2 linked regions of the Anolis sagrei genome follow. The protein of the gene in region 1 interacts with the protein of each later gene in a biochemical or structural test. Links are inferred from orthologs where the notes say so. Each region holds a gene or a part of one and is shown in the gene's direction. Other genes may lie near its edges. The genes, in order: ABCC4 and MPP1.

What was found.
Region 2: the proteins of ABCC4 (region 1) and MPP1 form a complex in vitro, tested with the Homo sapiens proteins (2 studies listed by BioGRID and IntAct, with this or other methods). The link is inferred for Anolis sagrei from reciprocal best matches to the Homo sapiens genes ABCC4 and MPP1.

The regions. Positions count from the first base shown.
Region 1 is NC_090023.1:126,646,635-126,662,774, reverse strand, and holds the start of ABCC4 (ATP-binding cassette sub-family C member 4), read left to right. Parts: upstream 1-8,260; 5' UTR 8,261-8,370; coding exon 8,371-8,447; intron 8,448-16,140. UniProt on the Homo sapiens protein: ATP-dependent transporter of the ATP-binding cassette (ABC) family that actively extrudes physiological compounds and xenobiotics from cells.
Region 2 is NC_090030.1:15,261,221-15,277,360, reverse strand, and holds the start of MPP1 (55 kDa erythrocyte membrane protein), read left to right. Parts: upstream 1-6,455; 5' UTR 6,456-6,692; coding exon 6,693-6,797; coding exon of another isoform or gene 6,798-6,801; intron 6,802-16,140. UniProt on the Homo sapiens protein: Essential regulator of neutrophil polarity. Regulates neutrophil polarization by regulating AKT1 phosphorylation through a mechanism that is independent of PIK3CG activity.

The DNA.
Region 1 (16,140 bases):
TCTAGGAGGGGAGAGGTCTGACCTGTGCTTGTTTTTTTCTTTCTCCTTTTTGTGGGAGAACCCCCAAATGTCCATTTTGGGGGGGTTGCCTGTACCTTTTTTTCCTTTGTCTCCTGTTGGCCATGCTTCCCAGGGTTTCCAAAAAGATTTCCTCCTTCCCTCCTTCCTCCCTTCCTCCCTTCCTTTGTTTGACCCCTTTGTTCCCATTTCTCCCTTGGAACCTGGAAGAAAAAAAGGGGCTGATCCAGATTTGTTATTTTCCCTCTCTTTCCCATTCTGGGAAATGCAAACAAGGGGAGGGGGGAGAAGGGGAGGAAGTTTCAGCCAAGACTTGTGTTCTCTGGCATGTTTCTTTCTTCTGTGTAGATGGGGGGGAGGGCACATCACTCCTTCCCTTTTCTCTCCCATCTCTTCTCTAGAACTACAAATCCCCACCTCACCAGAGCACCCCACTTACTTTCAAAAGCTAGATCACCCCCTTTTGCTTTCAACTTCTCTTTCTGACCACCTTTCCCTTGGCCTTGGGGTTTTCTCCTTCCCTCTTGCAAACAGAGGGAATTCTACCCCTCTCACATCTTCAATCTCCCCTTCTTTTCTGCGCAACTACAAAACCCATTTTTTTTCAGGGGCAGTCACCAATGTCCCTGCCTTTCCTTTGTTTTCTCTTTACTCCCCAACTCCCCCTTTTTTTTTGCTTTCAAACCCCTCCTCCCTCTCTCCTCTTGCAAACAAAGGGAGGTGTAGGGGGGGGGACCTTTTTCCTGCTCCTGTTTCCTTTTGCCAAATAAAGTTTGCTGGGTTTCTCTCTCTCCCTCCCTCTCTCTCTCTCTCTCTCTTCTCCCTCCCCTCCCATCTTCTAAGAAGCCAGTATTCTGTAAATTCTTTCCTCTATCTCCCAGAGAAATCCTGCTGCTCCCTCTTACCTCCTTCTTCTCAAACCAAAGGAAGAGATGTTCCAGAAGCATTCCCTCCTGACATTTCACTCACATCTATGGTTAAGTCTTTCTCTTACATACACAGTCCCTCTGATGCTTTTTTCCTTCCTGGCCCTTCCTCCCTCCCCTCTCCCTGAGCACATGTATGTGTATGTCTAAATTATCCCATTAACTGCCTTAAATATGAGGGGGGCGTCGCGGTCCAGGGGTCCCCTCTGCGCAGTGAAGAGACCACCGGACATCAGATCGAACTGTGGGACCCATAATCCACTCCTGCCGCTGAGGACAACTACCTGGGTGAGGTGAACAATGGGAGGTCTGTGGACTTTCCTGTGGGGAACCCAGATGGCACAGGAAGATCCTAGGAGAACAGGACCAGACCCCATGCCGCCCAGAAGAGACAGCCCCTCCTAGAGGCTGATCTGAGCCCCCACGGGGGAATGCCATCGCAGGAGGAGCAACCAGGATCCCACAGCAACTGCCGTGAAGGAAGGAGGCCCTGCCCGTTCCAGAAGCTGTGCAGAGGAGTGGCCCAAAGGAGACCACTGACGTCCCCACTAGGTATGAAAGTTTTTCCCTTTGTTTCCCCACTAACTACCCTTGGGCTGGGAAAGGGGGGGTGGGAGGGGGCTGTAAACCTTCTTTCTGACTGTCCTAGACACTACCCCTGAGTCTCTGTGATGATGGAGAGCCGGACCTGTCTGCGGTCACCAGGAGGCGCCACGCCAGAAGGAGTAGCAAGGCTGTGCCCCATCTTCTCCCTCCCCGAAGTGCCAAGGGAGGAGCCAGCGCCCCCAGGAGGCCTGAGGACCACTGCCAGATGGGAGAATTCCACCATGTGCCATCCTCCTCCATTGGGAACTCACCCGGGACCCCTGAGTGCTCCATGCTGACTGCCATCACAGGCTCCACCATCCCCTGCCTCCACCGTCTTCACCTTCTTACTTCAGTCTTTTTTTCTTTCTCCAACCCAAAGAACACTCTGCCACTGGTCTCTCCCACCCTGCTGGGTCCTGCTGTTGTTGCTTGAGTTGGGCCCCAAAATAATCAACAGAATACAATCTAATCAGTCTAGAAAGAGGCCCTGGGTGCTTGGGGGGATTGTCGAGGCTTGGGAAAATGAGTGTGACCATTTTCCAGCCTCGAAGGGAGGATTTGATGCGGAGCATCTCCCCCCCAAGTATTTGTAGTTCGCCAAGGGCCGGACGATGGATTCTGCCGCTTCCTGACCCAGCACACATAACTGGGTTCCTGTTTCCTCTTTGTGAATTCTCTGGCTTGTGCACTGGACTATGGACTCTGCTACTACCCAACCCAGCTCCCCCTTCAGCTCCAGCTCCTGTTCCTAGAAGGAGCCAATCTTCTGTTGACCAACCTGGACCTTGGACTGATCTTCTGATGGCCAGCCTGATGCATGGACTGGCCCCTGCACCCAAAACCCTTCCGTCCAGACTTCTAGTTCTTTCCTCTCTCTTTTTATGAAATGAATAAAATATTTTCTTATTACTGTGGATTGGGGTTGGGATGGGTGGTGGGTGGTGATATATGGAATGCCTGTATACTGGTGATGCCTATGGTTTATGAATATGAAATATGTAGCCCCTATGAACTCCTCTGTATCCTCACCCCCTTGACCCTCACCCCACAAGAAAACCAGCGTGACCAGGAACTGCCTGGGGACAGAGCCCAAGCCTCTTTCCCCCAAATCACCCATTGATTGACTCATTTTGCATGGACAATGCTGCTGGCCCCAACCCTAGCCCTCGGAGCATGGCCAGCGAAGGAACAAGGGTCAGCAGAGCTTCGGAAAAAGAGACTGATTAATTCACCCAGATATTGTTGACCCTCCGGGTGGTCCGATATTGATCTAGCCTATTCAAATTCCCTGCCAGACTCATCAAGGACAGGAAAGCCTTTGTTTGTCAAACATCTGGAGACATTTTTCCTTTGTTTCGCTGAGCACATGGCATTCCTTTGTCTGCAGATTCCTTTCCCAGATTCCTTTGTGCTCCCTCATCCCGCCCCCATTCCTCCTGATTGGCTGTCGCCACCATGTGACAGAGGTCTCCCCATTGGATCCTACAGACCATTGGAGTTTCCTGATTGGTACAGAGGCGCCAGGGGCGGGAGGGCTGCTTCCCAGGTGTCCGCCCATCACCCAATCACAGCGGGGAACACCTGAGGGGCCGGGGCAGAAGGGTTGAACTCTGGGTTTTCAAAAATTGTATAAATATGCCTGCATCACTGTACCCCAGTATGCTTATGGTGGAAATATCCCTGTAACGCATCCTTTTCAGCTGAATCGCAGAAATAAACGCTTCGGTCACTGGATACCTCTTCAGCCTCTGGTGGGATTAATTCTTAATATTTTGCGCTTTGGATTGGCTTTTGCTGGCAGCTCACCAAGGTCAAAGACCCCCTTTGCGGTCTTCTGGGGCCTCCCTCGCTGGGAAAGCCCCCCAAAAAGAGCTCGATATCATTTTCAGCCCACTAGAGGGGGTCGCTTCCTTAGAGACGCCTCGTTGCGTTTGGAAGAGACCCCTTGCAGCTGCTTGGAATTCAGTAAACTGCTTTTCTTGGATGAATTATGTTGTGCGTCCTCTTGATTCCTGCCTGTGCTCGCTCACCGGTTGCAAGCCAAGCTTTGGCTGAGGGCCCAATTGGGCAAAAGGGTCTGCTACAATTCTGCATTATAGAATTAATGCAGTTTGACCCCTCTTGACCTGCCATGGCTCAATGCTGTGGCAATTGTAGCCTTACATGGTCTTTTGCCTTCTGTGCCAAAGAGTCCTGATGGCTTACCAAACTACAACTTCCATTATTTCACAGCACTGAGCTGTGGTAATTAAAGTGGTGTCAAAGTGCATTGATTCTACAGTGTAAATGCACCCAAAGTTCTGCCATGGACAATATTATCAATAGGTCCTGTGTTGTTGTCCTTGGAGAGGAACAATTTGGGGAAGTCAGTCGTCCAGGCAGGAAGTGTTAATAGACTGCCTGCTCCTTTTTAGAGATTTTCAAACAATTGTGGTTGCAATGAGAATGCAGCTTTCATTGTTTTGTCTCATTTGCCAAAGATATATCAACAGCAATCATTAAAGGCATTGCATGCACATTTGGGAGGATCTTTCAAGGAAGAGTGGCCATCCCTCAAGGAAACATTAAATACAATTTAATAACAGAAAGGCTGTCACAAAAGAAGTCTTTTCATAATTTAAAGCTTGCTGTCTCATTTTTTACAAAGGCCCAAAGAGAAACTACCATCAACTGCTAAAGCCATATTGGAATATCAGATCTTACTAACATATGAGAGAAACCTTATTGTAGCCGTTCGTCCACATTTGCACTTTCGACTTTTGTGGATTAGATTACTCTATGTAACACGATTTTAGTTCTTAGCTCCTCATGCGGGGACATGAGAGAAGCCTCCCCAAGGATGATAAAAACATCAAATCATCCGGGCGTCCCCTGGCCAATGTCCTTGCAGACGGCCAATTCTCTCACACCCGAAGCGACTTGCAGTTTCTCAGGTTGCTCCTGACACGACAAAAAAAGGTTCTTGGGTTATAAATATCATTTCTTAATTGGTTCTGTGATTAAAAACATGGGAAAAGTTTATTAAACTGCAAAAACGTTGGTTTTGTGAGACATCCTGCAGCATATTTTGCTATTGTTTTTCAATGAATATCTCACAGGGCTGGGCTTTAGCACAGTGGGTTAAATTGCCAGTTGCAGAAAATCTTGCAGATCGAAAGGTTGACAGTTCAAGCCTGGGTTGGGGTGAGCTCCTGTCAGTCCAGCTTCTGCTCACCTAGTATTTTGAAAACAGCAATGTTAGTAGATAAATATGTATCGCTTTGGCTGGGAGGTAATAAAAGGCACCATGTGGACATGTCGGCAATTCAATCAGGAGAGCGTCTGGGGACAACAAAGCTCCTCGGCATGGAAGATGGAGCAACAGCATGACTCCATGGCCGGAGTCAAGCACTGCTTCCAGATGGAAAAAGATGGGAAGCCTTTACCTCTCTTTATGTACTTTCTGCCTTGGTTAATTGTATAACGGCATTGAATGTTTGCCGTATATGTGTACTGTAATCTGCCCTGAGTTCCCTCAAGAAGATAGGGCAGAATATAAATAAAGTATATTAATATTATAGAGTCTCAATCAATTCAACTTAGTTTGTGGCATTCATGAAAACGAAGATTCTGGAGTATAACAGCTAATTGCAAAGTAAATACTGCACAACTAAACAGGAAATAACACTTTCAAACCAGGCACAGAGTTTTGTTAAATAGTGTTATTCATGGATTTGATTAAAAATATTATCTCTGTGAATTTCAAGGTCCTTCAATACAATCCTGTGGTTGGTTTACAGTGGATATTGGTTCTAGATTAATTTTGGAAGATCTGGAAACTCCTAGAGAGATTTGCTCAGGTTAAAAAATAGTAATTTGAGCTTCTTTACTTTCCCAGTGGTCCCGTACCTCTATCCCCTACGAATGTGGAAGGGTGGCTCTATTACATACTGACAAATATTTGCAAGGGGAAACCTGTTGTGCCACTTATTCCCCACATCACAATTATGATATGATGATAACAAATATGGGGTATGGATCATGTTGGTACAAGAATGCAGGTAAATATCACACAAAATGTGCTGTGTCTGGTTATATCTTAATTTGCAATTTGGACATTTCTTCCATGTTTCCCCTTTGTATTGATATCTAAAGACTTGTAGCTCTTGTCCCAAGTTTCCAGTTCTCCCATGAGTGTTGCATTACCACAATTTTGATTCCCGAGCTGTAGAAATATTGAAGCAAACCTTTTCAGGAAGTTATATTTCTTTGGTGAAAAACTATCTGGGGTCTTGGGCAAAAGTCTAATTTTTTGTATATCTTCCAGTAGTGCTGTTTAGATATCCAGGGCCCATCTAGAACAAACATTTTGGCATTCATAACTATTCCTGGCCCCTCTGTGTCCTTGTGGTTTACTTGTGTCCTTTCTTCCTTCGCAATCTCATGCCGGAGGCTTAGTTTGTGTACAAAAAACTTGACATTTCTCTGAGGCCCCCATCCAAGGACATGAAAACCTGTTAGTTTTGTTTTCATTACTCTCATCGTGTTTTGCTCTCCGTCGTAAGGTTCACTTTTTCAAGCTCTGCAACCATCTCCTCTGGTTTCCTGATGACTTTTTTGGGGGAAGGAAGCAGCTGCAAACTCTTTCATCAAACGCAGTTTTGCTTGAACAGCCTGCAATTGTTGTCTAAAGGCAGACACTCTTCTTTACTGTGACAACTGTGGTTGCATCAATTTCATATGTTCTCCAGCAGTCACTTCACCACTAAACCACTAAGCCAAATGGAGTCATAGCACTGCCTGGCTCAGTGCTATGACACCTTGGGAGATGTAGTTTTGCAAGACCTTTAAAGTTCTCTATGAGTGCTGATGCCTCCTCAAACTACAACTTCCAGGATCCCAGAGCATTGAGACAGGACAGTTCAAATAGTGTCAAACTGCAGTAATTCTAGCGTTGATGCATCCTTAATTTTTAATTGAAGGATGCAGCTAAACCAGGCATGGGCAAACTTCGGCTCTTCAGGTGTTTCAGACTTCAATTCACACAATTCCTAACAGCCTACTGTGTATACAATATATTATATTATCAGCACAACACAATACTAGTATTATACATTACTATATTGCACTATACCACTATAGTAAAGGTAGGTAAAAGTTTTCCCCTGGCATTAAGTCCAGTCGGGTCTGACTCTGGGGTGTGGTGCTCATCTCCATTTCTAAGCCGAAGAGCTGGCGTTGTCCGTAGATACCTCCAAGGTCATGTGGCCAGCATGACTGCATGGAGTGCCGTTACCTTCCTGCTGGAGTGGTACCTATTGATCTACTCAAATTTGCATGTTTTCGAACTGCTAGGTTGGCAGAGGCTGGGAGTGAAAGCGGGAGCTCACACCGCACCCTGAATTTGAACCTGCAACCTTTTGGTCAACAGGTTTAGCAGCTCAGCTAAACCCACTGCATTGACCCACTGCGCCACTGGGGGCTCTCTGATATAGCACTATACTTTATAAGGAAACACAACATACAAACTATCTTCAGACCCACCAAGAAAATCCAACAAATGCTACGTTCAGCAAAGGACAAGAGGGATCCTCTCACCTCTGCAGGAGTCTACCTGTACCATGCAGCTGTGGACAAGTCTACATAGGGACCACCAAACGCAGCATTGCCCAAACACAAATCAAGGAACATGAAAGGCACTGCAAACTACTTCAATCAGAGAAGTCAGCCATAGCAGAGCACCTGATGAACCAATCGGGGCACAGCATATTATTTGAGAACACAGAAATGCTGGACCACTCTCACAACCACCATGTCAGACTACATAGATAAGCCATTGAAATCCACAAGCATGTGGACAATTTCAACAGAAAGGAGGAAACCATGAAAATGAACAAAATCTGGCTACCAATATTTAAAAAAAAACTCTAACATTACAACAGCAAAACAACAGAGGGGAAACAATCAGGCACATCTAATTACCTCTCAACAAAAGATTGCCCCAGGCACTACTAATCAAGGTGGTCAGTTGAAACATTCACACCTAGCTCCAACAGACAAGAGTTCTTTGCCCCACCCTGGTCATTCCACAGATATATAAATCCACTTTATTAGTTCCAATGGACCTCACTACCTCTGAGGATGCTTGCCATAGATGCAGGCGCAACGTCAGGAGAAAATGCCTCTAGAACATGGCCATATAGCCCAAAAAAAACGTACAACAACCCACTATATTTTACCTTTACTTATAATGGTCTTTCTTTGCCCATGTGGAGAAACACCTTCTAGCAGCTCATGAAGCAAAAGCACACTCCAATCTGTCACTTTGTGCTTCTCTCCAAGCGCCTGTATAGCTCATGCCTGAAAAATGTAACAGTAACCAAAAGTCCCAGACTCAGCTAGTTTCCCCAATCAGCTTGTACATCTTATTTTACAGTTGACACACACACTAACTGATTTCTTTACATGCTCCAACAACTGTTATTATTATGATGCTGTGGAAGGTTGCAGTCTGACAAGACCTTTAACCTTCTCATCCCCAATGATTCAATGGCATTGAGCAGAAGGCATTATAGTGGAGACACAGTGTATCCACTCTTCAGTGTAGAGATGCAGGCAGCGTGCTTCTTTTATCTCTACCTGCCTGTCTCCGGGGCTCCCCCTAGCGGCGACGGCTGTCCCTGCCGGTGTCAGCTTTCCCGGAAGCGCCCTCCCTCCCTCCCTGCCTGCTTGCCTGGCTCCTCCCTGCAGCCAGTGGCAGCCCTTGCTTCCCGGCGAGGCTCCGCTTCCTTTCTCCCGGCTCACACCACCCCGATCGCAGCGTGTCCTTGGCGGGGAGAGCCCTCTTCCTCCTGGGCTCATGGAGGCGCCCTATTCCCGCGGGCAGAAGGAAAACCCGCTCCGCCAGGCCGGCTTATGCTCTCGGATCTTCTTCTGGTGAGCCTGGAGGGTCCTGACTTGGGAGGATTCCTTCCCTGTTGCAATATTGAGCCTAAAGGCGAAGTGGATATCTATATCTGAGCTTATATTGGATATAGATTATATAAAACCGCGCGCCAGGCAGTCATGCCGGCCACATGACCTTGGAGGCGTCTACGGACAACGCCGGCTCTTTGGCTTAGCAATGGAGATGAGCCCCAGGGCTGAAAAAGTTGGGATCAGGGAAAAGTTGAGCATCTACACCAGCCATGGGCAAACTTGGGCTCTCCAGGTGTTTTGGACTTCAACTCCCATGATTCCTAACAGCCGGTAGGCTGTTAGGAATCATGGGAGTTGAAGTCCAAAACACCTGGAGAGCCCAAGTTTGCCCATGCCTGATCTACACTGCACGTTGACACCACTTTATGCTATGGCATCCCTGGGAGTTGTAGTTCCACAAGGTGCTGGTGCCTCTCCAAACTACATCTCCCATGTCTCCATAGCCTTGGCAGATAAAATGGTCTCGATCTGCACCCATTCTAGTGTAGATTAGATGCACCTTGTGCCAAGTCTGTCCCTGACCTCAGGGCAAGTTGTAATTCACTTTCTCTCTTTATCTGTTGGTTCCTTTGTCTTCAGGGCAATGCTTTCTTGGAGGAAATGGGCTTTCTGGGCTTGGCTTCCCAAGCAGGGCCTGCCTAGCGCCAGGTCTACGGGAAATGATTCATAAATTCTCATTGGAACTTCGGTGCTTTCTTCCAAGATCAAAGAGGAGTGTGGAGACTCCTAAATCTGTCAGGATTCTCTAGGCTTCCGCCAGACCTCAGGAGTGAGGCACTATAAACATTTTTTTTAAAGTTGAAGATACAATATTTTATTTCAGGGGGAGGCTTTAAAGTTGGTAAATGGGACAAAAAGTGCATCTTCTCTGTAGAATGAATGCGTTTTGACACCATTTCAACTTCCATGAGGTCATGGGAGTTGTCGTTTTGCAAAGTCTTTAGCTTCTCTGCCAAACTGCCAATCTTAGGAATTTTTGTGTGTGTCAGGAGCAACTTATTTATTTATTTATTATTTACTATATTTGTATACCACCCTTCTCTGCCCTCAGGTGACTAAGGGTGGTTTACAATGGCAATGATTCAATGACCAAAAACACCATAAAACATTTAAAAACATAAATAATTGAGAAACTGCAAGTTACTTCTGGTGTGAGAGAATTGGCCATCTGCAAGGATGTTGCCCAGGGGACGCCCAGATCTTTTACCATCCTGTGGGGGGCTTCTCCCATGTGCCCAATTTTAGGATTCCAAAGCATTGAGCTTGGCAGTTAAAGTAACCTCAAACTGCATCACTTCCGCAGTGTAGATGCACCCAAAGTGTGTATAGAAAGCTGTGACACTGTACCGTTGAATTAAAATGTTATACAACTTAAATTTAGTAAAGTCATCAGGCGTAAGTTATTTTATTTGAGTGAAAATCCATAATTATTCATAATAATAATAATAATAATAATAATAATAATAATAATAGGGTTGTTGTAGGTTTTTTCAGGCTATATGGCCATGGTCTAGAGGCATTCTCTCCTTACATTTCGCCTGCATCTATGGCAAGCATCCTCAGAGGTAGTGAGGTCTGTTGGAACTAGGAAAAAGGGTTTATATATCTGTGGAATGACCAGGGTGGGACAAAGGATTCTTGTCTGTTGATTCGTGTTTGGGCGCTGCATTTGGTGGTCCCTGTGTAGACTTGTCCACAGCTGCATGGTATACGGTAGACTCCTGCTGAAACTAGAGGATCCCTCTTGTCCTTTGCTGAACGTAGCATTTGTTGGATTTTCTTGGTGGGTCTGTAGATAGTTTGTATGTTGAGTTTCCTCATCAGCTTCCCTATGCGGTCAGTGGTTCCCTTGATGTATGGCAAGAACATTTTTCCTCTGGGTGGATCTTTGTCTTTACTCTCGTGGCTTGTTCTTGGTCTTGCAGCTCTTCTGATGTCTGAGGTGGAGTATCCATTGGCCTGGAGAGCCCAGTTGAGGTGGTTCAGTTCATCTTGGAGGAGGTGGGGTTCGCAGATTCTTTTTGCATGGTCTTCCAAGGCTTTAATGGTGCTTCTTTTTTGACTTGGGTGATGGTTGGGGTTTTTATGTAGATATCTATCTTTTTATGTAGATATCTATCTGCCTCTAGACCATGGCCATATAGCCCGAAAAAACCTACAACAACCCAGTGATCCCGGCCATGAAAGCCTTCGACAATACAATAATAATAATGTTTATTATTCAGGAGCCCCCAGTGGCACAGCTGGTTAAACTGCTGAGTTGCTGAACTTGATGACCAAAAGGTCAGCGGTTTGAATCCAGGGAGCGGGGTGAGCTCCTGCTGTTAGCCCCACTGAAAGATCGGCAGTTTGAATCCAGGAAGCGGGGTAAGCTCCAGCTGTTGGCCCCAGCTCCAGCCAATCTAGCAGTCAGTAGATGCAAATGTCAGTAGATCAATAAGTACCGCTTCTGTGGGAAGGTAATGGTACTCCATGTAGTTATGCTGGCCACATGACCTTGGAGGTGTCTATGGACAACGCTGGCTCTTTGGCTTAGAAATGAGATGAGCACTCCCTGATGGCTCTTTGGCTTAGAAATGGAGATGAGCACCACCCCGCAGAGTCGGACACGACTAGGTTTAATGTCAAGGGGAAACCTTTACCTTTATTTATTATTCGTCAGTCCTTTTGGCTCAAGGAGGGGCACAGCATAGTAAATACACCTTGTGAAAGCACATATTAAAAGATAGTTGAAATGCAACAATTAAAGCATATATACACTTATTGATATACATGAAACAAAGGTCAAAACACAATAAACATAGAATGTGATTTTAACATTCATAGTGAAGATTGACTGGGTTGGCCTGTTGCACTCAGAACGCCCCATTTCTGCTTTCCTCAGCAGAAATTAAGAGATTTCTTAATATTTTATGGCCAAATTCTGATTTAATTGGGATTTATAGTCAGGCAGGTGAGTGTAGGGAGAGTGAGTGTGATGTTGAGGTTTGACATTTGAATCAAGACTTAGGGATCTCATTCCGCCATGGAAACCCACTGGGTCACTTTGCATAAGCTGCACTCTATTAGCCTCCGAGGAAGGCAGTGGAACTTTTTTTGGCAGAGGCTCCTTTTTTGGAGGCTTTTAAACAGAGGCTGGATGGCAATCTGTCGGGAGTGCTCTGAATGTGATTTTCCCGCTTCTTGGCAGGGGGTTGGACTGGATGGCACACGAGGTCTCTTCCAATTCTATAATTCTAATACCCTCCTCCCTCACCAAGAAAAGTACAGAATAGATAGTTTCTCCGTAGAGTCACGATAAATTGGAAGAACAACAAAGTGGGCACAGAATTGCAGCTTTGAATGGACTGCATCTTGTTTTGGAGGAACAAGCCGGTACGATTAACTGTCTAGAAGAAAACTGGTAGTATCCAGGTGATTCAACGAAGAAAGAGGCAAATTCATTGCTGGAATTAAGTCAGGTTTCCTAGTTTATGATCCACAAACTTCCTGGACAAGGGTTCATGCTCGCTAGTTAAACTTACAGCACAATGGTTTATAGGTTTTTTTTTAAAAAAAGCCTCTAGTTTCTAGGATCAAAACCTCACATTGAGATCATGCAATGTGTAAGCGCATTCCTTTCTAGACTTATTATCGGTAGAGAGATAAAGACCAGTCTGGTTTGATTCTCTGCATTCTTCTTCATACTGGGCCTCAAATTCAGTTACGTATAAGAGAAAAGTGTCGATGTAACACACTGCTGCTGTAGTCGGATATCAGAGTGCAATATTGTTATGAGTTATTGTGTATACATTGACTTTTTTCCCTTCTAAGATAATTCTTCTATCCTTGCTCACTTAAAATGTTTTCAAGCAATGTTTGGTTTCTCCATCTGATGGCAGTGAGTCTTATTTTTGCAGTGGCATCAATTCTGTATGCACTTCAGTAGTCACTACTCCTCTAAATTACTCATGTCATAGGAGATCCCTTGTGGCCGAGCATGATTGCTTTCCAAGTGTAGGGTCTTGGCAGTGAGTCTGTAGGTGGCTATAGAGACCTATTCTTGATTTGCATGCTCATTTGCAGTCAGGACATTTGTTTCCAGATGGAAGACGGTCCCAACAAGGGTTGGCTTGATGTGCCTTCCTCTTGACATGTTTCTCCCTTTCGCTCTCTGTTTGCTTCCTAAAGTAAACTACTAATCTATATGAATACAATGGGCCCTTGGTATCCACTAAGCTTTGGCTCAAAGCCTCCTTTGGATACTAAAACCCCTGGATGCTTCAGTCCCATTCTGTGCAATAGCGTGGTAAAATAGTATCCCTGACAGTAAAGGCAAGGTTTGCTTTTTGGATTATCTTGACTATTTTCAATCAATGGGTGGCTGAATCCGTGAATGAATGCATAATCTGTTGACATGAAGAACAGGCTGAACTTGCTGCCACCCACCTGGCTCTTTGCTTGCTGGAGAGTCAGCCTTGAGTTGAAGTGGGAACCTGAAGTTGTCCCCAAAATGGATTTAGTTCTGCCTTTTTCCTTGGGATCAGAGTAGATGGGCATGAAGAGAGCATCTATTCTGAGGAATATATAATATATTTTTATTTATATTCCGCCTATCTCCCTGAGGGGACTCAGGGCAGATTACAGTACACATATATGGGAAACATTCAATGCCATTATACAATTAACAAATACAGACAGGACATAAACAGAGGTAAAGGCTTCCCAACTTTTTCCATCTCCAGCATCTGGAGACTGTTCTTGACTCCAGTGATGGAGGGGTGCTGTCGTTCCATCTTCCATGGCAAGTAGCTTTGTTGTCTTTAGACATTATCCTGATCAAATTGCCAGCATGTCCGCCTTTTATTACCTCCCTGCCAAATGGGTAGCTATTTATCTACTCACATTATTGTTTTCAAACTTCTAGGTGAGCAGAAGCTGGGCTGATAATGGGAGCTCACCCCAGCCTGAGTTTGAACTGTCTACCTTTTGATCGGCAAGATTTTCTGCAACTCTCGGTTTAACCACTGTTCTAAAGCCTGGAGACAACGCATTAACTGACATGGCTCAATGCTGTGAAATATGGGAGTTGTAATTTTACAACGTTTTTATTCCATTCTCCCAAAGTGGGTTGGTGCTTTCCCAAACTACGAATCCCAAGATTCCATAGCATTGAGCGAGGGCAGCTAAAGTGGTGTCAAACCGCATTCATTCTGTGCCCTTCCGTATTTTTGGGCCATAACATTGGGCTGCCTTACAAACTAGATAATAAGGTAATATCTGTACAGTACTTTGAACACTTGAAAATGTTGTGTAACTCCTGGGTATAATCTCCTGATTTGGGAGGGAACACGTTACAGGTAATTGCAGGTTATAAATACTATAACATATAATTTTTGGAAGTAAGTTGGGCATGCTTCTTGTGGGAAAAATTGTAAAGTAGTTTATTAGGGAGGCTGGAATTCAGCATGGGACTCACCTCTTTGTAAGTAAACTTACATTTTGGGGAAATAGAATTGAGTAGTTTTGCAGTTTCTGCATTCACTTAAGAGGTTCTGTGACTTTACAGTGTACAGACGTCTGCTGCTGACCAGATTTCTATTTTGAAATGCATTTGTGTACAAATAGAATGAAAAAACACCTTTAGAAGACACTTTAGAAACACTCCTAGTAAATAACATGCTATGTAGTATTTTGGGGAGTCTGGAGCACTTCCACACGTCATAGTAGTCCTATGAGATAAGTAGCCTTGAAGGATCTAATTCTTTGCTAATTTTATTATTAGAAGGATCAACAAATAATTTTTGCAGTTTTCTTCCCATAATAAGACTATAGTTTTACACTGAGAGGTTCTACAGGTGGAGATTTATTTGAAGTTCAGGACTAGTTCATATGTAGTTTGGGTTGCTGTAAGTTTTCTGGGCTGTATGGCCATGTTCCAGAAGCAGTCTCTCCTGATGTTTCACCCACATCTATGGCAGGCATCCTCAGAGGTTGTGAAGTATATTGGAAATTAGGCAAGTGAGATTTATATATTTGTGCAATGTCCAGGGCGGGAGAAAGAACTCTTGTCTGTTGAAGGCAAGTATGAATGTTGCAATTGGCTACCTTGATTAGAATTTAATGGTCTTGCAGCTTCAAATCCTGGCTAGCTGCTGCTTGGGGAATCCTTTGTTGGGAAGTGTTAGCTGGCCCTGATTGTTTCCTATCTGCAAATCCCTGTTTTTGAGAGTTGTTCTTTATTTACTGTCCTGATTTTAGAGGGTTTTTAAAATACTGGCAGCCAGATATTGTTCATTTTCATGATTTCTTCCTTTCTGTTGAAATTGTCCCCATGCTTCTGGATTTCAGTGGCTTCTCTGTGTAGTCTGACATGGTAGTTGTTAGAGTGGTCCTGCATTTCTGTGTCCTCAGATAATATGCTTTGTCCACTTTCTGTGTAGGAAACATCATTTTCTATGCAGAATATACTGTCTCAGCTCAGTATACTGAAGATCATTCACTTGATCTGATTTGGCCCTTATATAGTTGTCGTGTAGGAAAGATGCTGTGGAACTGGAAGGCATGCTGACCCTCTTTTAGGCATTTTAATATCAGAATAGAGCAACCGCACTAGCTCTGGCTAAAAGGGGAATGGAATGGAAAACCTTTACTTTCCTTTGCAGCTCCTGGCAACAGAGCTTGGAAAAGCTACTTCTTTGGATTCATTTCCCCAAATTCCTTAGTCAGAAGTTTTGGAAGATGTCGTCCAAAATTGGTAACATTTCCAAGGTCTGGCTGGCCAGCTGCTCATATAGGGAAGATTATGCAGCAGTGTTTAATGTACAAGGTGCCAGTGATGTATTAATGGCTAGAAGTGCATCTTAGGTCATAAGTCATGGCAGGTCTCTTCCACTAAGTGAGTGCTGGAGGCTGATTACTAGATCCTTGTCAGATCACTCCTGGAAATGCATCTGTCTCCCTTTTGTTCCTTATCTATGACTTGTATGTTTTCTAGCACAGTCCATTTTTTTTTGCTTCTGTTGTATCTGATAATGTGTACCCTTGTGCTTGTTTACTTTAAATATATATTCCAGTAAGATACACAATTCTGCAAATGGCTTGCAGCAATCCTGAAATGGGTATTGATTAATAAAATACAGTAATGGAACCATTCTGCAGTGTAAACCTGTGTGTTCAAAAGTGGACCTGGACAATCTGTCCAGGAAGTAAACAGCTTAATGTTGTGAATTATATGTTGTCTGGAATACAAACATACAAAAGCATAGAAACATTAAAGGCTTAATGTATTGTCGAAGGCTTTCATGGCTGGAATCACTAGGTTCTTGTGGGTTTTTTTCGGGCTAAAGAGCCATGTTCTAGAGGCATTTCTCCTGACGTTTCGCCTGCATCTATGGCAAGCATCCTCAGAGGTAGTGAGGTCTGTTGGAATTAGGACAATGGGTTTATATATCTGTGGAATGGCTGGGGTGGGGCAAGGAGCTCTTCCCTGCTGGAGCTAGGTGTGAATGTTTCAACTGATCACCTTCATTAGCATTTGAAGGCCTGCCTGGGCCTGGGAAAATCTCTTGCTGGGAGGTGTTAAGATGTGCCTGGTTGTTTCCTCTCTGTTGTTTTGCTGTTGTAATTTTAGAGTTTTTTAATACTGGTAGCCAGATTTTGTTCATTTTCA
Region 2 (16,140 bases), on another chromosome or scaffold:
TGTTGGATGTATTTCAAAGGAAGCAAAGGGAAAACTACCTTTGAGTATTCCTTGCCTAAGACATTCCTATGAAATGTATGTGGTTGCCACGAGTCAACAGGCAACTTGAAGCCACAAACATATAGAATCCAAGGATCTTAGTCCAAACATATTCCACAACCATGCTCCTTAATCTCACTGGATTCACCTGAAATTCATAAAGTTGTGTGTGTGCATTTTGCAGTATTAATTGTAAAAATATACAGAGCAATTAATTCCCACTGACTTTACAAAAGACCTGCCCTTGGTAGGAATGGAAAGCCTTTACTTTTACCTGTGTGTCTAATTGTTTCGAGACATTGAATGTTTGCTTAGTGTCTCTATATTTGCTGGAATGCACCCTGAGTCCCCTCAGGAAGATTGGGTGGAATACAAATAAAGTGTTGTTATTATTATGTTATTAAATGCCCAGAGTATAGATTAGCCCAGTTGCCTATATTCTGGATACTTCCTACGAGATGAGAGTTTAAATGTTATTAACTAATACTACACCAGTATAGATGCTATAATATTTTTAAAAAATTACTTTGGATGGGATAGCAATTAGTTGTCCATGACAGAAAGGATATTATTATTATTATTATTATTATTATTATTATTATTATTATTATTATTCCAGAGGTGTCTCATGAAATTATATTTCATTCTAATAACAGTATATACACTACACATGTAATAAATAATAATAATAATAATAATAATAATAATACTTTAATTTATATTCCACTCTATCTCCCCAAAGGGACTCAGGGCGGATTCCAAACATAAAAGGCAAACATTCAATGCCCGAATACAACAACAATACATCCATATTAACAAAATGTATACAACCCAACATATAAATATGAATTATAACTTAACTAAAATTAAATTTAAAAAAAACATAGCCTGTTTTAACAGACATAAGACAAAACACAAATACATACATATTGGTGTGTTGTTTTTTGTTTGCTTGTTTGTTTACAGTATTTTTATTCCTCCCTTCTTACCTCGAAGGGGACTCAGGGTGGATCACAGAACACATATACAACAAACATTCAATGCTGTTATACACAGACAGGACAGACAACAGTACAGATAGTGGTATATAGACATTTTTCATCTTTGGCATCCTAGAGGTTGTGCTCAGTTCCGGCCACAAGGGGGTGCTGTCACTCCATCCTCCATGTCGAAGAGCCTTGTTCACAGACTTCCTCCTTTTTTTATCGCTGGCATTTTCCTTATGGTGTCATTAAAATACCTCTCCACTTAAGCAGTACCTATTTATCTACTCACAGTTGTTTTCGATCTGCTAGGTGGGGAGTGAGCTGGGCTGAAGGTTAGGCGCTCACCCCTGACCTGGACTTTGAACTGCCAACCTTTTCATAGAATCATAGAGTTGGAAGAGACCTCGTGGGCCATCCAGTCCAACCCCCTGCCAAGAAGCAGGAAAATCGCATTCAAAGAACCCCTGACAGATGGCCATCCAGCCTCTGTTTAAAAGCTTCCAAAGAAGGAGCTTCCACCATACTCTTGGGAAGAGAGTTTCACTGCTGAATGGCTCTCACAGTCAGGAATCTCTTCCTAATGTTCAGATGGAATCTCATTTCTTGTAGTTTGAAGCCATTGTTCTGTGTCCTAGTCTTCAGGGCAGCAGAAAACAAGCTTGCTCCCTTCTCTCTATGACTTCTTTTCACATATGTATACATGGCTATCATATCTCCTTTCAGCCTTCTCTTCTTCAGGCTAAACATGCCCACCTCTTTAAGCCGCTCCTCATAGGGCTTGTTCTCTTTTAATTGGCAAGATTTATGGCAGCTGGTGGTTAACCTGCTGTGCCAAAGCCTGGCACTGTTGTTGTTGTTATTCCAAGTGGTCTCATGAAATTGTATTGTATTATAATGGCAATATATACACTATACATGCACATACATACATATTGGTGTTGTTGTTGTTGTTGTTCCCAGTGGTCTCATGAGATTCTATTCCATTCTGGGTCCTTAGTAACTATAAGTGAGGCATCAATTCAACAGATGCAACCCATTTTAACACTGCAACATAAATGCTGGGAAAATGTACACAGACAAGCTGGCAACCTTAACAGGATTTTATTGATTTAGGGGTCTGTGTCTCCTTTCTCTTTTTACTTTCCAGAATTCTCATAGATTGAAGAGGATCTTCCAGAAGTGATCAGCGTCTTTTGATTACCAGACCCAGGAATCTCTCCGTTGAGAAGCCCCACTTTGCGAAGAAAGTCTTGGGGAGCTTGGAAAAGTTACTTTTTAGGACTATAATTTCTTTAGCCAGCAAGGACACTGCTCGGCTGACTAGGGTTGTTTTGCTTCTCTAAATGCAATTTTTCAGAAGGAGGCATATTACCCTTTCTGTTATTGCAAAACAGTTGCAATAACAGAAGTTCTGTCACTGTCCGTCACTTTGCGACAAACAATGTTGTTTAAGATGGAGCAATTCTGGTGTGGACAAGAGTGAGTATCTGTGTTTCAAAGATAGAGATATTTGAACAGGCCAGTAAAATAAAAATGTTTACATTTACATTACTTGATGTAATCAATAAAATGTCTGCTGTTTTGACTCTCTGTCATTTGTTGAAATGCTTTAGAGCAACTCCAGATGGATTGAAATGTTCCAGATTTTGGGTTGCCGTGAGTTTTCCAGGCTGCATGGCGATGTTCCAGAAGCATTCTCTCCTGACGTTTCGCCCACATCTATGGAAAGCATCCTCAGAGGTTGAGGGATCTGTTGGAAACTAGGCAATAATAATAATAATAATAATAATAATACTTTATTTGTACCCCGCTACCATCTCCCCAAGGGACTCGGTGCGGTTTATATATCTGTGTAATGTCCAGGGTGGGAGAAAGAACTCTTGTGCATTTGAGAAAAGTGCAAATGTTGCAATTGGTCACCTTGATTAGAATTGAATAGCCTTGCAGCTTCAAAGTCTTGCTGGTTGCTGCCTAGGGGAATCCTTTGTTAGGAGGTGTTAGCTGGTCCTAGGGTCAGCTAACTCCTCCCAACAAAGGAGTTCCCCAGGCAGCAAAAACCAGGCTTTGAAGCTGCAAGGCCATTCAATTCTAATTAAGGTAGCCAATTGGAACATTCATACTTGCCTCCAACAGACAAGAGTTCTTTCTCCCACCCTAGACATTCCACTGATATATCAACCCCACTTGCCTAGTTTCCAACAGACCTCACAACCTCTGAGGATGCCTGCCACAGATGTGGGCAAAACGTCAGGAGAAAATACTACTGGAACATGGCCATACAGCCCAAAAAATGCTCAGCAACTCCAGCAATGAAAGCCTTCAAAAACACATTGTTCCAGTTTTTGTTCCTGTTCTTTCCAATTTTCTTCTGGGGTCCATTCACATTGAATAATTTCTATGAGCTGCTGGCACACTAGTAATTATCCATGCTATTTTAAGATATAACAAACCATTTTCACAGCCAAGACCGTTTAAAACCTATTAGAAGACAGAATACAAAAGATCTGTATTTCAAAGCTGATCACAGGGTGTATCTGCACTGCAGAATTAATACAGTTTGACACTATTTGAACTGCGACGTCTCAGGTGCTGTTTCCACTGCCATACAATGCAGATGAACAACACTGAACTGCATTACATAGTAGCATAGATTCATATAAGCCAACTTGATGCAATTAATCTGCATTCTGAAACTGTATTATATGGCAGTGTAGATAGGAGCCTCAATGTATTGGAATCCTGGGAATTTTGTTTATAGCACTGAGCCATGGCACTGAAAGTGGTCTCAAACTGCACTAATTCTATAGTGTAGATCAATGTTCCTCAATCTAGAAGTCAGGACCCCGTGGGGGGTGTTGTGAGAGGGGTGTCAGAGGGGTTGCCAAAGACCATCAGAAAACGCTGTTGGTCATGGGGTTTCTGTGTGGGAAGTTTGGCCCAATTCTATCATTGGTGGGGTTCAGAATGCTCTTTGATTGTACGTGAACTACAAATCCCAGAAACTACAACTCCAAAATGTCAAGGTCTATTTCCCCCAAGTTCTACCACTGTTCACATTTGGGCAAATTGAGTATTCATGCCAAATTTCATCCAGATCCATCATTGTTTGAGTCCACAGTACTTTCTGAATGTAAATGAACTACAACACCCAAAACCCAAGGTCAATTCCCACCAAACCCTTCCATTATTTTCTGTTGGTCATGGGAGTTCTGTGTGCCAAGTTTGGTTCAATTCCATCATTGATGGAGTACAGAATGCTCTCTGATTGTAGGTAAACTACAAATCCCAGCAACCACAACCAGGGGTGGCTCGTCCATTACGCGAAATAAGCGGTCGCAGAACACTTTTTTTGCCAGGGGCGCAGAGGTGCCTCTGTAAATGCCCCTTGACCGCCGCTTGAGGAGCAGCTCACAACAGCCCTAGAAGTCCGGGGGGAGCCTCGGCTTTCTTGCCTCACCGCTGGGCGATCCTCTTCCCAAAGGGGCCGGGCCCTTGAGCCTCGCCTAGCCCCTCTCCTTCCTGCTCCACCCAGCCACAGGGTGCGCGAGCAGAGCCGGCACTCAATCGTTTTCCGCGTTCGATCCCTTCCCCATGATTGGCTCCCTTTCACGATCCCCCGGCACTCCACCCGCCTCCTCTCCTCTCCCCAATCTGTGGGTGGGCCAAGGGGTGGAGCCGCTGCGCCTGGCCCGCTTCAGGTCCGGCCGGCATGTCTGAAGACCCCAGCGTGCGCACCAAAAGTCGCCTCTTCTCCTGACTTTCTCTTCAGCCATTGGGACCGAGAGAGAGAGAGAGAGAGAGCCCCTCCGGCTGGAGGTATCTCCCACCTCCGCTCCCTCCTTTGTTTTTGCACCTACCTACAGGAAAGGTGGGCATCTCCACCTCTCTCTCTCTCTCTCTCTCTCTCTTGGTCCCACTGGCTGAGGAGAAAGTCAGGAGAAGAGGTGACTTTTGGTGCACACGCTGGGGTCTTCAGGCACGCCTCCAGACCCAAAGCGGGCCAGGCAAGGGAGCAAGTGCAGCAAGTGCAGTTACTGGGATGTATAGTTCACCTACAATCAAAGAGCATTGTGAACTCCACCAATGATGGAATTGAACCAAATATGGCACACAGAACTCCCACAACGAACAGAAAATATATATCAGTGATTGATTTGAGGGGGGAGGGGGTGCCAAAATACTGTTTGCTTACCATTGAAAATTATCTAGGGCCGCCTCTGATGGCAGGAACACTTTTCCTCTGGGTGGGTCTTCATCTTTACTCTCGTGGCTTGTTCTCGGTTGTCTTGCAGCTCTTCTGATGTCTGAGGTGGAGTCTCCATTGGCCTGGAGAGCCCAGTTGAGGTGGTTCAGTTCATCTTGGAGGAGGTGGGGTTCGCAGATTCTTTTTGCACGGTCTGCCAAGGCTTTAATGGTGCTTCTTTTTTGACTTGGGTGATGGTTGGAGTTTTTATGTAGATATCTATCTGTGTGTGTGGGTTTTCTGTAAACGGTGTGACCCAACTGTTGATCTGGTTTGCCCCTTTTTTCCCAGTTTCCAGCAGACCTCACTACCTCTGAGGATGCTTGCCATATAGATGCAGGCGAAACGTCAGGAGAAATGCCTCTAGAACATGGCCATATAGCCCGAAAAAACCCACAAGAACTGAATAATAATAACTACAACCCCCAAATGAGAAAATCAATCCTCCACAACCCCACCAGTATTCAGATTTGGGCATATTTTGTGCCAAATTTGGTCCAGTGAATGTATATACAGGCACGCCTGGCGGGGATGAGGGATAGGGCCTTCTCGGTGGTGGCCCCCCGGCTGTGGAACGCCCTCCCTGTAGACATCAGACAGGCGCCCTCCCTTATGACATTCCGCAAAAGACTAAAGACATGGTTATTTGAGAGGGCGTTCGACTAAGTGCTACAATTGGCAATGATGACTGGAACGGAATATGGATAACGAGATTGGTTATGATTCTACGATGAGACGGCGCGGATGATTTAGTATAATCGTATTATTGATTGTTATGTTGATATTATTGTTGTGATATTCCCTTATTGTAAACTGTTTTTATATGTTGTACACCGCCGTGAGTCGCCCTAGGGCTGAGAACGGCGGTCAACAAATGCAGTAAATAAATAAATAAATAAATAAATATACATCCTGCAGATCAGATATTTACATGACGATTCATAACAGGAGCAAAATGACAATTGTGAAGTAGCAACGAAAATAATGTTGTGGTTGGGGGTCACCACAACAGGAGGAGCTGTATTCAGGATGCCAGAGGATAGAGTTCAGGCGGGGTCAACCTGCGTTCACTGCAGAGGGTGTAGATGCAGCCGTGGGCGGCAGGGGGCGCTGCCGCGTTGCGGGCAAAGGCAGCGGCGCGGCGGGGCTCGGCCGGGGTCTCCTCCTCCTCCTCCTCCTCCTTCTCCTCCTGCGTTGCCTTTGCGCCAAACGGAGGCACCGGGAGGGGCGCTTCCCGGGCTGCCTCCTCCCCGAGAGCCGCCTCCAACCCGCCTCCCTGCCTGCCTTCTTCCCCGGAGCCCAGCCCCGCCGCAGCCCTTTCCGCCTCGGGACGCCCCAGGGATCGGGGCCAGGAGAAGAAGAGAGCAGGGCTATCCCCATCCATCCCTCCATCCATCCATCCCTCCATTGATCCACCGGGCAGCATGACGCTCAAAGGCGGGCAGGCAGGCGACGGCGCGAGCCGCATGAGGACAGTCCTCTCGGACCTCTACCTGGAGCACCTGCTGCAGAACAGGCCCAAGGCCGAGGCGAGTTGGGATGGGGTGGTATGGAGAAGGGGGGGGGGGTCAAACTGGAGGGAGGAGGGGGTGCACGGTGTGTGTGTATATGTGTCCCCACTTTCGCCTTTTCCTGTTTGGGGCTTCCCATGGGGAAAAAAATGCAAATGCATGCTAATTTATGCTAATAATGCAAACATATGCAAATGCATGCTAATGCCCGTATATAAAAACACACCACTTTTGCATCTCCCTCTATACAAATAGGCCCAAATAATGCAAAATAATAGGTTCTTGTAGGTTTTTTTCAGGCTATAGGGCCATGTTCTAGAGGCATTTCTCCTAACACCTCTCAACAGAACATTTTCCCAGGCTCAGCCAAGCCTGCATGCTAATACCCGTATATAAAAACACACCACTTTTGCATCTCCCTCTATACAAATAGGCCCAAATAATGCAAAATAATAGGTTCTTATAGGTTTTTTTCAGGCTATAGGGCCATGTTCTAGAGGCATTTCTCCTAACACCTCTCAAGAGAACATTTTCCCAGGCTCAGCCAAGCCTGCATGCTAATACCCGTATATAAAAACACACCACTTTTGCATCTCCCTCTATACAAATAGGCCCAAATAATGCAAAATAATGGGTTCTTGTAGGTTTTTTTCAGGCTATAGGGCCATGTTCTAGAGGCATTTCTCCTAACACCTCTCAACAGAACATTTTCCCAGGCTCAGCCAAGCCTGCATGCTAATACCCGTATATAAAAACACACCACTTTTGCATCTCCCTCTATACAAATAGGCCCAAATAATGCAAAATAATAGGTTCTTGTAGGTTTTTTTCGGGCTATAGGGCCATGTTCTAGAGGCATTTCTCCTAACACCTCTCAACAGAACATTTTCCCAGGCTCAGCCAAGCCTGCATGCTAATACCCGTATATAAAAACACACCACTTTTGCATCTCCCTCTATACAAATAGGCCCAAATAATGCAAAATAATAGGTTCTTGTAGGTTTTTTTCGGGCTATAGGGCGATGTTCTAGAGGCATTTCTCCTAACACCTCTCAACAGAACATTTTCCCAGGCTCAGCCAAGCCTTCAAATGCTAATGAAGGTGATCAGCTGAAACATTCACACCTAGCTTCAGCAGAGAGCTCTTTGCCCCACCCCAGTCATTCCACAGATATATAAACCCATTTTCCTATTTCCAACAGAACTCACTGCCTCTGAGGATGTTTGCCATAGATGCAGGCGAAACGTCAGGAGAGAATGCCTCTAGAACATGGCCCTATAGCCCGAAAAAACCTACAAGAACCTAGTGATTCCAGCCATGAAAGCCTTCGACAATACAATGCAAAATAATCATTTATACTAATACTAATATATGCACATACTATATGTGCCCATATATACGTAATATGCCACTTTATGCAATTGTCCATCTCTAGATAAATAGCCCCCCCCCCCCCCCAGTGGCGCAGTGGGTTAAAGCACTGAGCTGCTGAGCTTGTTGATCGAAAGGTCACAGGTTCGATTCCGGGGAGTGGCGTGAGCTTCCGCTGTCAGCCCTAGCTTCTGCCAACCTAGCAGTTCGAAAACATGCAAATGTGAGTAGATCAGTAGGTACCGCTCCGGCGGGAAGGTAACGGCGCTCCATGCAGTCATGCCGGCCACATGACCTTGGAGGTGTCTATGGACAACGCTGGCTCTTCGGCTTAGAAATGGAGATGAGCACCACACCCCAGAGTCAGACATGACGGGACTTAGTGTCAGAGGACTACCTTTACTTTTACCTTAGATAAATAGGCCTATTTACGTAAAAATGTCTTATTTATGCAAATGTGCTAATTCATGCAAATAATGCTAATATATGCAAATCACTCTCTCTCTCTCTCTCTCTATATATATATATATATATGCCCATTTATGGAAACTTGCCACTTTCTGCAATTGTGTCCATCTATACAAATAGATCCATGAGGTCAGAAAGAATCGGAGACGACTGAACGAATGAACAACATACAAATAAGCCCACTTATGCAAAATACCCATTTATGCAAATGTATTTATGCAAATAATAGTAATATACAGGAGCCCCCCGGTGGCGCAGTGGGTTAAACCCCTGTGCCAGCAGGACTGAAGACCGACAGGTCGCAGGTTCGAATCCGGGGAGAGGTGGATGAGCTCCCTCTATCAGCTCCAGCTCCTCATGCGGGGACATGAGAAAAGCCTCCCACAAGGATGGTAACACATCAAAACATCCGGGCGTCCCCTGGGAAATGGCCAATTCTCTCACACCAGAAGCAACTTTCAGTTTCTCAAGTCGCAACTTGAGAAACTGCAAGAAGCAACTTGCAGTTTCTCAATATGCAAATGCATGCTAATATATGCAAAAAATACTATATGTGCCCATATATATGAAAACATGCCACATTATGCAATTTTGTCCATCTATATACATAGGCCGGTTTATGTAAACTACCAATTTATGCAATATATGTCTTATTTCTGCAAATATTCCTAATATATGCAAATACTTAATATATACAAGTACATGCTATATATGCCCACATATATATATAAACATGCCACTTTATGCAATTATGTCCTTCGATACAAATATGCCCATTTTTGCAAATATGCCCACTTATGCGAAATCCTTATTCATACAAATATGTCTTATTTATGCAAGTATTACGAATATATGCAAATACTAATACATACAAGTGCATGCTATATATGCCCATATATATATATATACTTATACAAATACCACTTTATGCAATTATGTCCATCTATACAAATATGCCCATTTTTGCAAATATGCCCCCTTATGCGAAATCCTTATTTATGCAAATATGCTTTATTTATGCAAATGTACTCATACATGCCAATCATGCTGCATGCCTTTAGCTCTTTCTCACAGAACCTGGTTGAGGGAGGCAGGGAAATAGGGAATCTCATCTGAATGAATGAATGAATGAAAGAATGGAGTGTCATCCTGGGAGTTGTAGTTTGACCAAGTCTGTCTCCTTCTCTGCCTCGGCCCACTACAACTCTCAGGATTGTGTAGTACCGAGACATAGATGTGGGTTGTCAAACGGTGTCCGTGCTACATGCGAGATGCACTCTTCTCAATGTGATGCTTTGGGTTACAAGCATGCTCACTTGCTCTCCATTTTTAGGAGGACTGAATGCATCTACAGAAGGCTCAGGCAAAATTAGGTCCTCCGGGTGTTTTGGACTCCAACTCCCACCATTCCTAACAGCCTCAGGCCCCTTCCTTTCCCCCCTCAGCCGCTTAAGCGGCTGAGGGGGGAAAGGAAAGGGCCTGAGGCTGTTAGGAATGGTGGGAGTTGGAGTCCAAAACACCCGGAGGACCTAATTTTGCCCATGCCTGATCTACACTTACTACTTGAATGCTTGGGAGCCAGGATAGTTATAGTTTGAGACCCTGTAGTGGATCCTAGGCATGAAAGAGATGTGTTCCAACAACCGTAATGTGTCTGCTTGGATTGTTATCCTTGGAGGGAGCTTTTGGTGCTTTGCTGCTGCGGAAGGAGCCGGCTCTTGTTTGTGCCGCAAAGCTGGTTCGAACTGGAAGTGGCTGTCGCTTGGGCTGCGGAGCCGAACCAATGGGAGCACGAGAAGCCTCCTTGCGCAAGGCAGGCCACATTCATCTCTGTCGGTATCGAGTGCAGATTTTCACCCTCGTTTCGGTTGAACCTGGGACATAACTCTCCCCAGGCAGCCGCTTTTCCCTGAAGCCACCGTCTCTGCAAAACATCACATTATCTAAAAATCACAGCAGTGTGCGCGGGAGAGATACAATTCTAACTTCATTAGGATCCCAGTGAAAAGTGGGACAAAGTTACTTTTCAAAAGCAGGGCAACACAATAGAAATAATGCTACATTATTGGTGCAATGGATAACATTTAGTTCCCAACCTTCCTAATGCCGCGACCCCTTAAGACAGTTCCTCGTGTTGTGGTGACCCCCAAATATAAAATTATTTTTGTTGCTACTTCGTAACTGTAATTTTGCTCCTGTTATGAATTGCAATGTAAATATCTGATATGCAGAATGGATTTTCATTCACTGGGCCAAATTTGACACAAATACCCGATATGCCCAAATTTGAATACTGGTGGGGTTGGGGTAAGATTGATTTTCTTATTTGGGAGTTGTAGTTGCTGGGATTCAGCTACAATCGAAGAGCATTCTGAACCCCACCAACGATGGAATTGAGCCAAACTTCTCACACAGAACTCATTTGGGAGTTGTAGTTGCTGGAATTTATAGTTCAGCTACAATCAAAGAGCATTGTGAACACCACCAACGATTGAATTGAACCAAACTTGGCACACAGAACTCTCATAAGCAACAGAAAATACTGGAAGGGTTTGGTGGGCACTGACATTGAGTTTTGGAGTTGTAGTTCACCTACCTCCAGAGAGCACTGTGGACTCAAATAGTGATTGATCTGGACCAAACTTGGCACGAATACTCAATATGCCCAAATGTGAACACTGGTGGAGTTTGGGGAAAATAGACCTTGCCATTTGGGAGTTGTAATTGTTGGGATTTATAGTTCACCCACAATGAAATAGCATTCTGAACCCCACTGATAGAATTGGACCAAACTTTCCACATAGAACCCCCATGATCAACAGAAAATACTATGTTTTCTGATGGTCTTTGGTGACCCCTCTGACATCCCCTTGCAACCCCCACAGGGGTCCCGACCCCCAGGTTGAGAAACACTATTTTACAGTGACCCTTTGGGGTGATGGTTCTCAACCTTCCTAATGCCGTGATCCCTTAAGACAGTTCCTCATGTTGTGGTGACCCCCCAAATATAAAATTATTTTTGTTGCTACTTCATAACTGTAATTTTGCTACTGTTATGAATTGCAATGTAAATATCTGATCTGTAGGATGTATTTTCATTCACTGGACCAAATTTGACACAAATACCTGATACGCCCAAATTTGAATACTAGGCTCTGGTCTAGCATACCTGTTCGAACGTATCTCCTTCTATGTCCCACCTCGGAGCTTAAGATCTTCTGGGGAGGCCCTGCTCTCGGCCCCGCTTTTGTCTCAAACACGTTTGGCGGGGACGAGGGACAGGGCCTTCTCGGTGGTGGCCCCCCACCTGTGGAATTCGCTTCCCGGGGAAATTAGGTCATCGTCATCCCTCCTCACCTTTAGAAAGAAGGCAAAAATGTGGTTGTGGGGCCAGGCCTTTGGGCAATTAAGTTTAAGGACAATTGATAATGCTTGACTATGGCTTGGAAGTGGATTTGGATAAGTGAAGCGGAGTAATAATAATTAGTATATGGCTAAATAAATAGCCACCAGACTGGCAATAGCTACATGGATCCTAAGTATACTGTTTAATCTCTATTTCTTAATGTTCATGTTTTTAGTTGTTATATTTGTTATTTTGTATTTTATGATGCGGCATTGAATTATTGCCAATTGGAAGCCGCCCTGAGTCCCCCTAGGGGTTGAGAAGGGCGGGGTTAAAATGTTTGAAATAGATAGACAAATAAATAAAATAGTGGGGTTGAGGGAGATTGATTTTCTCATTTGGGAGTTGTAATTGCTGGGGTTTGTACTTCTGCTGAAATTGTCCATATGCTTGTGGACTTCAATGGCTTCTCTGTGTAGACACAGCATATTATTTGAGAACACAGAAATGCTGGACCACTCTCACAACCACCATGTCAGACTACACAGAGAAGCCATTGAAATCCACAAGCATGAAGACAATTGCAACAGAAAAGAGGAAACCATGAAAATGAACAAAATCTGGCTACCAGTATTAAGAAACTCCAAAATTACAACAGCACAACAACAGAGAGTAAACAATCAGGCACATCTATTCACCTCTCAACAAAAGATTTCCCCAGGCACTGCCAAGCCATCAAATGCTAATTAAGGTGGTCAGTTGAAACATTCACACCTAGCTCCAGCAGACAAGAGTCCTTTGTCCCACCCTGATCATTCCACAGATATATAAACCCATTTCCCTACTTCCAACAGACCTCACAACCTCTGAGGATGCTTGCCATAGATGCAGACGAAATGTCAGGAGAAAATGCCTCTAGAACATGGTCATATAACCCAGAAAAACCTACAACAACACAGTATATATAATATTATAATACAAATTAAAACAGCATAAAACACAACAAGGCAATAAAAACAACATCATTAGCATCTCCTATATTATCAAGCATTGCCCATTTCTATCGTCAAGTCATCAGGTTTCCTATATCAATTACCTATATCCGTTACTCTGCATTTGTAAACGCTTGCTCAAATAGCCATGTTTTCACTTGCTTCCGAAACCTTAAGAGGGAGGGAGCAGATCTGATCTCCCTAGGGAGGGCGTTCCATAGCCAAGGGGCTGCCACTGAGAAGGCCCTGTCTCTCGTCCCCACCAGAAGTACTTGTGACGAAGGCGGGACTGAGAGCAGGGCCTCCCCGGACGATCTCAAGGTCCTTGATGGTTCGTAAGGGGAGATGCATTCAGACAGGTAAGTTGGGCCAGAACCGTTTAGGGCAGTGGTTCTCAGCCTGGGGTCCCCAGATGATTTTGGCCTTCAATTCTCAGAAATCCTAACAGCTGGTAAACTGGCTAGGATTTCTGGGAGTTGTAGGCCAAAAACATCTGGGGACCCCAGGTTGAGGACAACTGGTTTAGGGCTTTATAGGCCAAAGCCAGCGCTTTGAATTGGGCTCAGTAGCAAACTGGCAGCCAGTGGAGCTGGCACAACAAGGGGGTTGTATGCTCCCTGAGAGCCGCTCCTGATAGCAACCTGGCTGCCATTCATTGGACTAGTTGAAGCTTCCGAACCATCTTCAAAGACAACCCCATGTAGAGCGTGTTGCAGTAGTCTATACGGGATGTAACCAGAGCGTGTACTACCATGGCCAAGTCAGACTTCCCAAGGTACGGGCGCAGCTGGCGCACAAACTTTAATTGTGCAAATGCTCCCCTGGTCACCACCAAAACCTGAGGTTTCGAGCTCAGCAGTGAGTCCAGGATCACACCCAAGCTGCGAACCTGCGTCTTCAAGGGGAGTGTAACCCCATCGAACACAGGATGCATATTGAACTCAGTTTGCAGCCGTTGGATTAAGCTAAGGAGGGAAGTGTGGGGAAGAGAAAAAAATGTGCGGACAATGGGATACCTGCATATGAACCAAATGGGGAAGGTTGATGGCACGGTGTTGTATTGCACAGCTTGTTTGCTTGAAACCAAAAATTGAACTTTGACTTAATGATGCATGAATACACACTTGAGTGCTTAAAAAAAATCTCCACGTCTTCTTGTCACTAGCTTTTGCTCTAAACAAGTTTAAGAATGGACACATGTGCATTGATAAGAGCTATCTTATCCTCTGAAGATATGGCCTTTTCTTTCTTTTATGTACATAGCCGAGTAACTCAAGGACAATGGGATTATCACTAGACGGTCTCAAGTATCACTGTGGGACAAGGCTTGTCTGATAGCTCATGTCTTACACTACTTTAGGGCAGGAAAACTGACATTAGAAGCTCCACAAAATATACAAGCCACAACAGAACGATTTCAATGGATCGGGAATGTACCCAGTTTTAGAAAACTGGCTATTTCAGGCTCTCAGTTTCCCCCCAAATTGTTGTAAAACATGGTGCGCTTTTCTATTTCTCCAAAACTGAAAGATCAGGTGGTTTCTCTCCCTTTCGTTCCAGTCTCTTGTTGGAGAAACAAGTAAAGTCTGACTAAGTGTGACCTTTGGGCCAGAAGGATGGTTTTTAACAGAGCTAATGACTTGGAAATGAACGGCCTTGTTAATGTTTGAGCCTATTAATGCACTGCTTTGCATTTTACTGCAGTTGGGGAAATGTCTCTTTCTTTTTGCGTAATAGCAGAACTGATTACTTCCTTTCAAAACCGTATGTAAAATCTTCTGCTATTTGGCAGGCCCAGATTGGAGATTTGTGACAATTTTTAGATTTATACCTTAGCTCTCAGGAAAAATAAACCTGCATAACGACCATTGTATTACTGGGTTGCTGTGAGTTTTCCAGGCTGTATGGCCATGTTCCAGAAGGATTCTCTCCTGAGGATGCCTCCTATAGATGTGAGAGAAATGTCAGGAGAGAATGCTTCTAGAACAATGTTTCTCAACCTGGGGGTTGGGACCACCGGGGGGGGGGTGTCAGACCATCAGACAACACAGCATTTTCTGTTGCTCATGGGGGTTGAAGTTTGGCCTAATTCTGTCATTGGTAGGGTTCAACATGCTCTTTGATTGTAGGTGAACTATAAATCCTATCAACTACACTTTTACTTACTTACTTAGGCGATCCCTCATTGTCCAAGTAGGATAATCCTCCAGGTTGGGTCTGTAGGTGACTATGGAGCCCTATTCTTGATCTGCATCTTCTCCCACAGTGAGGGCATAGGTTTCCAGGTGGAAGGCAGTCCCAGTTGGGGTTGGCTTGACGCGCCTTCCTCTTGGCATGTTTCTCTCTTTCACCCTCCATTCGTGCCTCTTCAAATTCTGCAGCACTGCTGGTCACAGCTGACCTACAGTTGGAGCGCTCACAGGCCAGGGCTTCCCAGTTCTCAGTGTATATGCCAGAGATTTTAGGGTTGGCTTTGAGCCCATATTTACATCTCTTTTCCTGTCCACCAACATTCCGTTTTCCATTCTTGAGTTCGGAGTAGAGAAACTGCTTTGGGAAATGGTGGTCAGGCATCCAGACAATGTGGCCAATTCCCAAACTCCACCAGTGTTCACATTTAGGCATATTGAAGATTTGTGCCAAGGTTGGTCCAGATCCATCATTGTTTGAATCCACAGTACTCTCTAGATGTAGGTGAACTACAACTCCAAAACTGAAGGTCACCAAATACTTCCAGTATTTTATCTTAGTCATGCAAGTTCTGTGTGCTAAGTTTTTTTCAATTCCGTCAATGGTGGAATTCAGAATGCTCTTTGATTGTAGGTGAACTATAAATCCCAGCAACTACAACTCCCAAATTACAAAATCAACCCCCTTCCCAAATCCCACACGTATTCAAATTTGGGTGTGTTGTATATTTGTGCCAAATTTGGTCCAGTGAATGAAAATGCATCCTGCACATCAGATGTTTACATTACGATTCATAACAGTAGCAAAAGTACAGTTACGTAGTAGCAACGAAAATAATGTTATGATTGGGGGTCACCAAACATCGGGAACTGTATTAAGGGGTTGCAGCATTAGGAAGGTTGAGAAACACTGTTCTAGAACATGGCCATACAGCCTGGAAAACTCACAGCAAACCAGTGATTCTGGCCATGAAAGCCTTCAATAACACAATCT